3 linked regions of the Drosophila melanogaster genome follow. The main gene of each other region encodes a partner of the protein of the gene in region 3 in a complex. Each region holds a gene or a part of one and is shown on either strand. Other genes may lie near its edges. The genes, in order: fl(2)d, vir and nito.

Region 1 (3,753 bases), 5.9 Mb from region 3:
TGCATGTGCGTGTGTCCCACATTGCATGTTAATTGATTGATTGGCGGCCAATTAAGCGTTTAAAAATCAATTAAGTAAGCTTAACAATTGTGAATATACACACTCACACACAAACGCACACATGTTCGCCGTATTTTGGCGCCATTTATTTAAACATTTGTATTTGTTTGAACACACGAGGCAATGTTTTTTTCATTTGACGTTCACTTCTTTAACACAATTTCAACAGAAAAAGAATTTCAACTTTATTTTCTCTTTGGTTATGCACTGTCACATTTTCAATTGATTATTTAATATTATTATTTATATTTAGGCGCGACGAAAAGAGCGTGAGGGGCGCGAAGAGAGAGAATAAGATGGGTCCAGGGGGTGGGGCAGGGGACGCAGACACGTTGGCTCTCTTCTTCTCCTCTCCACTTCTCTGCTGCTGTGCTTCTTCTTCTTCTTCAACGGGCACGTAGGCAAACGAAAAGTGGTCGCAAAACGAAAACTGTACACCGCAAAAACGACGGAAAACGAGGAAAATCTCCGATTAGGATTCTCTACTATTATTACTTGATATGCTCTATTCATTTGATGTTATTATCAGCCCGGTTTTCTCATTAAGATTATATAAAATCTTAAACTTTACTTCGTTAACCTTATCTTCTTATGATTCATTTTATAATTTTTTATTTTAAGTACGATTGCTTTCAATATTAAAGCTTAGCTCAGCTTACTGGTTATAATTGGTTACGATTCTCATATATTATTTATGATTATTTAACTCATATTTTATATTTTAGATAGTTCTGTTGCACAACACTTTGTAATCACTTGATAACTTTAGGCGTCAGTTGCCTTTTAACTTAGTTCATATTTAGGTATTATAGATTATTATATGCATGGTCCTTTTTGAAAGCACTTTCACTACATTCGACGGTTTGCTCGAGGTGGTGTTGAAAAAAATAAATAAATAAAGTTAACCAAAACGCCGCTGAAAGAATGTTCGTTGCAAAGAGTGTTCGCTTCGATTCGATTCACATAATATATACGTTGAGTTCTTTACCGAGTGTTTTTCATAAACAAATTCAAATGACACAAGAAACCCAAGTGGAGTGGGGGCAGAAATAAACTAAAAGACTACGTTTACTTGTTGTTTATATATTGCATTATTTATACAATTTACACAGAGTCAACACTTTGGATCGTGGTTTTTTCCTTTTCTTTTTTTTTTTGTCGGTATTCGAAACGAGTATGTATGTAGTATATAGGGGGTATTATATAGATCAGATAGATCTCTGATCATATAGCAGTGTACCAAAATGTGCAAAATACCTTCGAGCAAGCGCTGTCGCTGTTCGGCGGCTGCAACAGCCTCTGCAACAGCTGCTGCATGTTGCTGCTGCTGCTGTTGTTGCTGCTGCTGCAAGTGTTGCTGTTGCTGCTGCTGCTGCTGCTGCTCCTGATGGTGATGATGGTGCGGATGCGGATGGTGATGATGATGGTGGTCCTCCAAGCCGGAGGGCGTTGGGGAGGCGGGGCCGCCAGTGGCCCCACTGTTTTGGCTGCTGTTTAGGATATTTAGGTTTTGCTCGTATTTGGTCGGGGGCATTTTGTCGTAACTGTTCATACAGGGTCTTTGATCGTCCATAGTCATTGCAGCGACACTCATTATTTGGATATTAAAACGCTGTGCTTGTTACTCTTGCTGTTGTTGTTGTTGTTGTTGCGGGTCCTTTGCTGGCGTTGTTGCTGTTGCTTTTCATAGGGGCCGCTCGCTCGCTCTCACACACGCACGCAAACACACACACACACAGGCGCTCTCACCTCCTCCAATACCACACGCACACACAGGCAAGCTATCGCTCACACCAATGGCGACGCGTATGGCGAACGTTTTGCAAAACGTTGATTTCGCGTACTTTTCGCGCTTGCTCAAAGCTTAATTAATGATTTATATCTTTATTGTCCTTTAATTCACACTTTTCATATGTTTTGGGTCGGTTGGGCTCACTTTTACGGCGATATTTTTTAATTTTTCTGCGCTGCGAGCTGATTTCTCGTTTGCTGCTGTTAACTGTTGTTCGCAATCCAACATGGCGTCGCTGAAAAATACCAGATTTGCCATCGACACAAATGCAGACCTGGGGTGCGTGGCTCGGATATGGGGTAGCGGAGACTCAACCCAGTTCCGTTCACACTGCCACAAATTTTGCCAAATAATTATTAGATAACAAATTTATTTAACTTCTAAATTGCACTGATAATTCCTTCCTTACGTCTACCGCCATAGCTTTGCATCCAATACTAACGATATTTACATAGTTAGAAATAATTAGGAACAATCAAATACAAGTGAGAAAGTTGTATCTTACGTTACTGTTTATTTTTTTGTAAGATTTATTTAGGGGTCACACTGGTGGACTGTTTTGGATATTGTTTTTATATTCAAAACGCAAAAACATGGCAGAAACCACTGGTGTGCAAATAAAACTGGAACAGCAAAACATCAAGGAGCGCCTGAATCTGCACGTCAAGCGGCGCCTGCAGCAGGATGCGGATAATCCCGCCGAGAGTCCCGAATTGCTGCCCACCGATGCGAATGCCAAGCGCAGCAAGACGAAAGATGTCTCAAAACCAAGAAAACCCTACCAAAAACGGACAGAAAAACCGAAAACAGAGGCGACCAAGTGCAAGAAAGGTATTTAAGTTGATTAAGCAATAGATTCCCCCAAATACATTGTTATTTTGCAGTTGGACAATTGGGCAGTCCGGCGGGTGAAGTGGATCCAATGGATGACCAGGAGACGGAAGGCTTTTCCCCGGAGGCGCCGGATGGCAAATCCGCCAGACGGGATTGCTGCAAAAATGCCGACATCCTCAACATAGTTTTGAACGCTAAGAAACGTAGTTTAATGCAGGATCCTGAAGTTCAGGCCTTCTGGACCGAAATAACCAATTGCATAAAGGGCTGAAAGCTTAACTGATCATAAGGGTCATTAGATCATAAGGAAATATTGTTGATGTTCGGGATATTTGTTATATGAACAACATTAAATATCTAATATTAGGGCTGTTGTACAAATATGTAAATAAAATAAAATAAGTGTTAATCCAAAAATTGTTCTATTATTCTAAATAGTTTCTAAATTTGTTTAAGAACTGGAAAAAAGCTACAAAACAAGTGCATACATTTGATCTATATAATGTGAAGAAGTAGTTAACATTATATAATATTTCAGTACAGATTTATAGCAGAGCAAAGCCGGCAGTTTTTCGGATTGATATCTTCAGTTCCAACCCTATTAACATAATGACATGAACCGACATTGCAAAAAAAATATATTTGTTTTAGCTATAAACAATCTGATAACAATATTGAAAGCAATAATACTCATTTGAAATTGAAATTTCTAGCTACAATGCTTTAAAATTAAGCAGTACTTTTTAAAAAATTTTCATTTTGTAGAAGCCAAGCAAAAATATTATGAAATTTATAACATAACATTGTTTTGAAAATGTTTTTTAGTATCTATAAAAATCCAATCCTCAATCGGTAATTTCTAAATTTTGAGAGAGAAGTAGTAAGCCTAGAAGTTTTAAAATACTTTTTTAAACTTATAGCAGACTAAAAATAAATTGAATTTATGACATAACATTATTATAAAAAATTTATTTGGATACTGTAGATATCCAATCATTCGGTAAATTTAAAAATTTGAAAAAAAATATATAAGCAAGAAGTATTGAAGTTAGATGTTTGAAAATACT
Region 2 (3,753 bases), about 15 Mb from region 3:
GTGGTTGCATGCATGCCGCCTGGAAACTCAGGGCAATCTGCAGCACGTTAGCCGCCTGTCGCAGATGTAGCTCATCGTTTCCGAAGAACTGCTGCAGGACAAAGTTCCTCCGCTTGTAGTGCTGGGCTAGGTAACCCAATTGGTTGTTCAGTTGTTCACCCAAGTACACAAATTGCTCCCTTTCGTCCACACTAGCGCCATGTTCCTCGCTGAAGGCATTAACATTCTCACAGCGGGTTTGCAGGACCAGCTTCTTAAAGAGCAGCTTCAGAGTTTCCAGCTCCTTGCAGAAGTGGGCTGCCATGTCCCCTTCAAAGACCAACAGTGGCTTCTGCCACGGCTCGAAAGCATCGATGGCCGGAGGAGCAGCGGCAGCAGCAGCCTCCAACTCCCGCTCGTACTCCGCAATGGCAGCCGCATCCACTGCGTCGTCCTCCTCGTCGTCGCCGATGATCTCGTCGTCACTGAGAATGGGCTCAAACTGCTCTTGCGGCGTGCACGATCGGTCCTCATCGTCCCGATCCCGTTCACCACGGTGCAGCGACTCGGAGGAGTGCCGGTAGTGAGATGACTGCATCTTGTAGTGGGAGCGCGAGTCCTCGTCCTCGTAGTCCATCGTGTCTGGCGAACGCGGACGTGTCGGTGAGTCTATCGACGCGGGCGGGGTTCTGGGCCACTTGTGCTCGTCCACAACGGAGCGAGATCTCTCGGAGCGCTTGCGACGTGACCGATGGCTGGAATACTCCGGTGAACGCGACCAATCCCTGGAGCCCTTGTCGCGGGAACTGCAATGAAAGGTCTGTGATAAGTCTGAATATAATAAATAAAACAGATAACCACTTACCACCTGATGTACTCCCTGTCGTTGCTCTCCGAATGCGTGTGCGATCTTCTGGGCGGTGGCGGTGAGTGATCCGTGGAATGCGTGGACCGACGCAGTCGTCGCATCTCTCGCTGCTCCTGCTCCTCGGCATGCTGGTGGTAATGATCCCGCGACATTCCATACTCCATGTCCTCCGGATCGTAATCGCTGACATTTCCTTTGTGAGCGGTCAGCAGTTCGGCCTGCATCGGCTCCTGCCACTCGTCTTTCAGCACATCCTCCTGGAGGAGCACCTCGCCACTCAGGTTGGCTATCTCCGGGCCCACGGGCTCGCAGGGCAGCGTTGGACTGGCGATTGGCTCGGTCACCGAGTTGGTGAAAATGCCGTAGATGGCCAGTGTGATGGTGCTGTACCAGCCGCGCAGCACCAGACCGTCGGTGACGATCTTCTCCTGCGAGCAATCCAAGTGAATGCAGTCGTTCTGGTTGTAACGCAGCAGGCCGAGGTTCTCGAATGCCGACGCAGCCGGCATTCCCAGGTCATTGACGAAGAACTCCAGGTCGAACTTGGAGGGGTTGGTGGCGCCCAGGCGAACGCCGCCGGGAAAGTCTGCCTGGACTCGGGCGCCGAGAGGAATGATCCGCACCTGTGTGATGAAGACCGGCTTGGGAAACTGCACCAAATCCAAATTGATGTCCTATGAGGAGAGGAGGAAGTGGGGTTCAGCGAATGCACCGAGTGGGGGCTTCTGGAGGCACTTACCGTCACTTCCTCATGCGAGAAAGTGTCGAAGAACAGCAGCTCGGACCCGTCGTCTACGTCGGCCATGTTGTGTGCTTAAATCGAGTCTTTTTCAGTAAAATCTTCTACAGTCCGGAAGTTTTATTTATTTTCCGCAACTGCTAGGGATGGAACTTAAGACGATAAGTGATCGATATCATCAATTGCTCTACTACAATTGGTAGGGGTATTCAAGAGGGTATGCTTTAGAATATGTTGAATACATCTTTAAAAACTAAACAAAAATTGTCTCAGTCTAGTAGCTTGCGCAAAACAATGCATCAAATTTTAACGTCACAATTGGCTCATGTCTAGAAATGAATTGGATTTTTTCTCAATATTCCCCATTTTTGGTAATGATGCTCTCAATGTTTTCTAAAAGATTGTAAAATAGCCCTAAAAACCATAGGCTTAAACCTAACGCAGGGAATCGCACTGATTCAGAGTACATTTGTTTCCCTTCAATGGACGCACGCAAATCATGTAAATTTAGTTATTATCAGTAATTCAAAATTTACTTCCTCTACAATATTATCAAACTATAATTCGAACCTCTTATTATAAATAAAGTGTGAACTATCAAAAACGAAGTAGTGAGAACGACCTATAAGAGTTCCATAAAATAGTCCCATACCATATATATCGATAGGCTCGTGCTGGGTTGTCGATAAGGGAAATGTTTTGGAGACCGGCTGCAGAGAAAAACGCGGATTTTGTTTTATTTCTCTGTTTTGTGTATTAAATCGCCAGATGCGCAGCTTAATATTGTCCAACTCGTGACCGACTAGCGAATTGTGTGGAAAATGAGGATTCTCCTTGTTTTCTGCAAGTTCTAGAACCGCAGTGGCGCTTGAACACGCAACCACGTGAAATCCAGCAACAACAAGTCTGCGCAACATGAATTTGGACGAGTTCTCCGACTTCAATATAGATCAGCTTCTGGGCCCAAGCGCACCGCTGCAAGATGCTCTGGTGGCGCCGTATAAGCAGGTGTCGCTGCCCAGGAGCAACCAAGATGTGTACGCCAAGCGAAGCCGGCTGGCCGAGCGAATAGCCCAGAACGACGAGCTGATCCGCCAGGTGAAACAGCTGCAGGCTCAAAACAAACAGCTGGCCGACCTGCAGCGCACCGCCCAAGAGGTGACGGATCTGTACCAGAAGGAGAAGCAACAGAGGATCGAGCTGGAGAAGCGCACCAAGCAGATCGGCGAGCGATGCGGACAGCTGGAAAAGGAGCTGGACGTACAGGTTGGGAACTGCGAGAATCTGCAGGAGCAGCTGCAAGTGCGGGGACTACCCGTGGAAGCCAAGGATGTGCTGTCCATACTCATGCAGTTCTCCCAGCGGCTGGGCGACGATTGTGGACTTTTGCGGCGGGATCAGAACATCATGAAGAAGCTAAGGGAGCACTGCAAGACTATAGACGTAAGCGTGCCCACGCCAAAGAGCCCGAATTCACGTAGCAAACGGAAAGCCCATCAGCCCGGAGTCAACCAATCTACGCAAACCGACGAGGAACCCGCTGATCCCAAGCCCGCGCTTTGCTCTGTTGCTGTGCAAGTGGAAGGTCTGATAGAGACGCGCAACCAGGCCACGCAACACAAGAACACCACCACCACCCGGGGAACCACTACAGCCTCCTTCATCAAGCACCACGATGTGGGCACATGCTTTCCCGAACCAAAGCCCCTGCCAAATATTCGGCAGATACTTGATGAAATGCTATCGTGGCGAGATGATGTCGTAATTGAGCCCATGAGTCCGCTGAGCGATCTGCAGCAGGAGTTGCAGCTCGAGGACGTACCGACCAATGCGAGTGTGGCCACCTGTACCACTTTGTGTGATATACACCGCGAGATTGATTTCGTTACCGACCTGCCGACACAAATAAAGGTGTCCGCCTCGAGGCCGCCCTCACGAACAATGCTGGATAGTGTAAAGGAGGAGGCCAGATCCTCCAGGGAGCTCGCCAAGGAGCTGTTCAACTTTCTACCTCAAAACCAAAGCTGCCTGACCAATCTGCCGCCGCAGGCCTTCGAGGAGCTGTGGCAGGTCTTTGGCCAAATGGTGCTTGCCCTGCTGCAGAGGCGCTCCAATCCGTCCATGGCCACGCCACCAAGCGTCAGTCAGGCGGATTTCACCAGATGGT
Region 3 (3,753 bases):
TTCTTGCCCCTGCCCAAGGTGAGAGTGTGCGAACCATTGGCCATCTGGAGCCTACGACGCTGTAGCTCCTGGCAATCCTCTTCCAGCTGCCGACGGGCCTCTTCCAGTTGGGCCTTTTCCTCCAAATGCTCCCGTTTTAGCCGGTCGAACTTAGTATGCAATTCCTTCTCGTTGTCCTTCAGCTCGTTCTCCTTCTGCTTGACCCGCTGAACGAACATTTGGCGCACTTCCTCCTCCTTGGCCTGTAGGCAAGCCAGATGGTCGGATCGCTTCGACTCGAAGGTCTGTTGGAAGGAGACCGGCTGGTTGTTGCTGTCCACGTCCACAAAGCCCATTTGTTGTAGGCGCCGCTGGCGGAAGAGCTCATAGTGGCGTGTGTGAGTCTGTTCGCGCAGATCCTCCATGTTAGTGCGAATGAGCATCTCGCGCAGCTTCACAAAGTCGCAGTGCGCCTCGTTTTCTATGTGCACCGCTCCCCATGGATATTGGCGGGCACGAACCTGCTTTCCGGCCACCTTTACAAACTCCGTACTGCCAACAACGGCAAAGGGTAGATGGCCGTTCATCGCAGCATTTGTTTCGGACACGGTTTCGTCGTCCATGGGAAACTGGTATATGCTCACATTGTTCCGCCGTAGTTCGTCCATTATGCGTTCCTTAAACCCCGACAGCTCCGACTTGGAGATGGTGTCGGCCTTCGCGATCACGGGAATGATGTTCACCCTAGTGTCAAGCTGCTTCATGCACACCAAATCCATAGCTTTCAGACCATGGCCCGTGGGACAGATGAAGTACAGGCAGGCGTGAACGCGTCCATCATGAGCACTGGCCATCGCTCGCTGGATCTTGAGCTCTTCCTGCAAATACGCTTCAAACTGGCTGTCCACGTACTCCACCAAAGCCTTGTAGCTGTCCGCTTTATTAACCTGATCTCCGTATCCGATCGTGTCACAGACGGTCAGCTTCAGGCGGACGTTGCTCTCCTGCAGCTCGTATGTATTTGCCTTCAGCTTCACATTGGGCAGGTTGTGCGGGCTCGGTGTAGATCCAAAACTGGTATTGAACAGTGTGTCCATGAGAGTGGATTTCCCGAGAGCGGTCTCGCCGATGCATAGGATATTGAAGCTAAAGCCATTCTGGACGCTCTTGTTGACCAGCTGGTCCGGTAGGGTGTCGAACCCCACGTGGCCGCCGAGTTGAAGGAGCCTGGGGACTTTGGTTGCCACCTCCTGCGTCTTCTTTTCAGTCACTAAATGAACCATTTCGCCAGTGCTTTCGTTAGAATAATGTCACGACCCAGCGCAGGCGCCACTCTTTATACCCGGAATTCTCGTATGTGCAGCCTGTGTAAACCCTAGTCGTTTTTCTTAATAAGCCATTTGGATTTTCCTGCATCTGGTGGCGTACCGAGAATTAAACTGTATCTAAGAGTTTTCTACCTGTGATTCCTTTTACCTGCAGCCTTGACGATTTTAAATGCGGTGCCCGCCTCAGTTGTCTATCGAGACAGTTCTGCGCGACTATATCGATTAAAGCAGCTTCAACTAACATTTATCAATTGCAGTTAAACAACGATGGATTATTCGATCAAAATGAATTTTATTTATCAGAAAGATAGTCTTGCGACAGTACATTTTATATATGATTTCTGGACTATGACGCCACGGCTGGCTCGAATGAAGTCCCATCTGGACGTATTATATTCGATGACTTTTTCCAACATTTGTGGTCATATATCGGCAATAACACGGCAAATGTTAAGTCGGTCGCGATTTTGAACAGTAATGCCAACTTAAAGTTCTCCACCTCATAAAAAAATCCTTTACAAAACGTATATCGCGTTGTCTTAATCTCGCGTGTTTTAAAGATTTATGATCTTAAAACTTAAAAACTTTTATTGTTATATCTAAGTTCGCCGAAATATATTACAGAAATAGAAACCTATTAAAAACTACATTGAAATTATATATGATTATAACTATGTCATTATATAAAAATGAATCAAACGTTTGGCTATAAAATGGACAAATATGGCTCGATACCATGAACGGGACCATCAATGGCGATAGCAAACACGTATCGTTATCGAATACCGCAGTTAACTTTCGACGCATACAGAATTTGCAAAGCCGGAGGAAATTGAAGAATTTGTGGAATATCCGCGACTTAATAGTAAACTAGCACTTAAAAATAAACATCCAAAAAAGCCGGAAGTGGTAAGAACTCTAAAAACGATCTGAATTGCTCTGATTTTAGAATTTTTCCGCCTAACGCGATTTTCTTTGTTTGCGGGGCGCCGCCATTTTCTTTTTACCTGACCGCCGCTTGTCTTCTTGCATTTCGCCCGTACTTTCACAAAGCAAATCTCGAATTCTTCGCAGAATCCCCGGAACTAAATTGCCAGAAAGTTCTCAGGCAGCACACACCGAGTTAAAGCGCCCCGGAATAGCCGCCCATGAGTAGTCATCGAGACGGAGCCGGAGCCGATCGTATCACAATCAAAATTCACAACATGAAGCGTAGCGCCTCGCGCTCCCCGGGCCCGGCCTCCAGGAGCAGTTTGTCGCGCAACTCGCGAAGCATGGGTCGTGGGTACGACAACGGCAGCGGCGTGCCTGGCGATTCGCCGGAGCGCCTGTCGCCGGAGCGCATGCGACGTCGATTGGACCGCTCGCCGAGTCGTTATGGCTCCCCGCACCGGGAGCCCTACATGCGTGGTCCACCGCCTGCAGAGCGACCAGCTGGCTACAAGGTACTTTGCGTCAGTGCCCTGCCGCCAAAGGCTCCGGACGATTTTATCGAGGAGACACTGTACCGCGAGTACAAGAAGTTTGGCGATTTTAGCGTGCGACTGGCGCACGACTTGGATGAACGGGTTGCTTACGTTTGCTTCCGAACGCCTGAAGATGCACGCGAGGCGAAGCACCATAAGCCGCGCCTGATCATCTACGACAAGATGGCCATTGTGGAGCCGGTGTACAAGTCCACAACCAGACCGGAATATAGGTGGGATTTATTTTTGTATTTATTTTGTTAGCCTTGGCTAATCTAAGATGCTTTGCAGACCACGCGGTCACTCAATGTCCCCACCGGACTATGAACGTTACCACTACTCGAGGTCCCCTATGGGACAAGGCGTTCCTTTGGATCACCGTCGACCTCCGATTGATCCCTACGATCGGTACGGTCCTCCCCATATGCATCCGCACGCAGTCCATCCACGTGATTACCGCCCATTGCATCATGACTATCCTCATCCGCCACGCGGACCACCTTTGCATCGCGGCGGCCATCCGCATCACCTCCATGGCCATGCGCCGCCCCATCAGTATGCTCCAATGAGGCCATTGGCACCACGCCCACACGCTCCCTATGAAAAGCCTGAGAGCAAGAAGGACAAGTTCCCCAATTACTTGCACCATGTGCAGCCCGAGGATGATCCTCTTTCTACGCGCACACTGTTTGCAGGAAATCTGGAGGTTACCATCGCCGACGACGAACTGCGTCGCATCTTTGGCAAATACGGAGTGGTAGATGACATCGACATCAAGCGACCGCCGCCGGGTACGGGGAACGCGTTCGCGTTTGTACGTTACCAAAACCTGGATATGGCTCACCGAGCGAAGATCGAATTGTCTGGACAGTACATTGGCAAGTTTCAGTGCAAGATCGGATACGGGAAAGTGACTCCGGCAACTCGTATGTGGATCGGAGGCTTAGGTGCCTGGACTTCTGTCACTCAGCTGGAGCGAG

The links.
Region 1: nito (region 3) and fl(2)d share a complex: the UniProt entries of both Drosophila melanogaster proteins name them as parts of the WMM complex.
Region 2: nito (region 3) and vir share a complex: the UniProt entries of both Drosophila melanogaster proteins name them as parts of the WMM complex.

Annotation. Positions count from the first base shown.
Region 1 is NT_033778.4:13,822,475-13,826,227, forward strand, and holds the start of fl(2)d (female lethal d), read right to left. Parts: upstream 2,080-3,753; 5' UTR 1,655-2,079; coding exon 1,318-1,654; intron 1-1,317. Other genes in the region: CG13339 (uncharacterized protein), read left to right, coding at 2,446-2,683, 2,737-2,957. UniProt on the Drosophila melanogaster protein: Associated component of the WMM complex, a complex that mediates N6-methyladenosine (m6A) methylation of mRNAs, a modification that plays a role in the efficiency of mRNA splicing and is required for sex determination.
Region 2 is NT_033778.4:23,364,603-23,368,355, forward strand, and holds the start of vir (virilizer), read right to left. Parts: upstream 1,754-3,753; 5' UTR 1,653-1,753; coding exon 1,587-1,652; intron 1,522-1,586; coding exon 845-1,521; intron 786-844; coding exon 1-785. Other genes in the region: Ice1 (uncharacterized protein), read left to right, coding at 2,502-3,753. UniProt on the Drosophila melanogaster protein: Associated component of the WMM complex, a complex that mediates N6-methyladenosine (m6A) methylation of mRNAs, a modification that plays a role in the efficiency of mRNA splicing and is required for sex determination.
Region 3 is NT_033778.4:7,960,388-7,964,140, forward strand, and holds the start of nito (spenito), read left to right. Parts: upstream 1-2,075; 5' UTR 2,076-2,216; intron 2,217-2,381; 5' UTR 2,382-2,455; coding exon 2,456-3,006; intron 3,007-3,064; coding exon 3,065-3,753. Other genes in the region: Septin5 (septin 5), read right to left, coding at 1-1,262. UniProt on the Drosophila melanogaster protein: RNA-binding protein that acts as an associated component of the WMM complex, a complex that mediates N6-methyladenosine (m6A) methylation of mRNAs. M6a modification plays a role in the efficiency of mRNA splicing and is required for sex determination.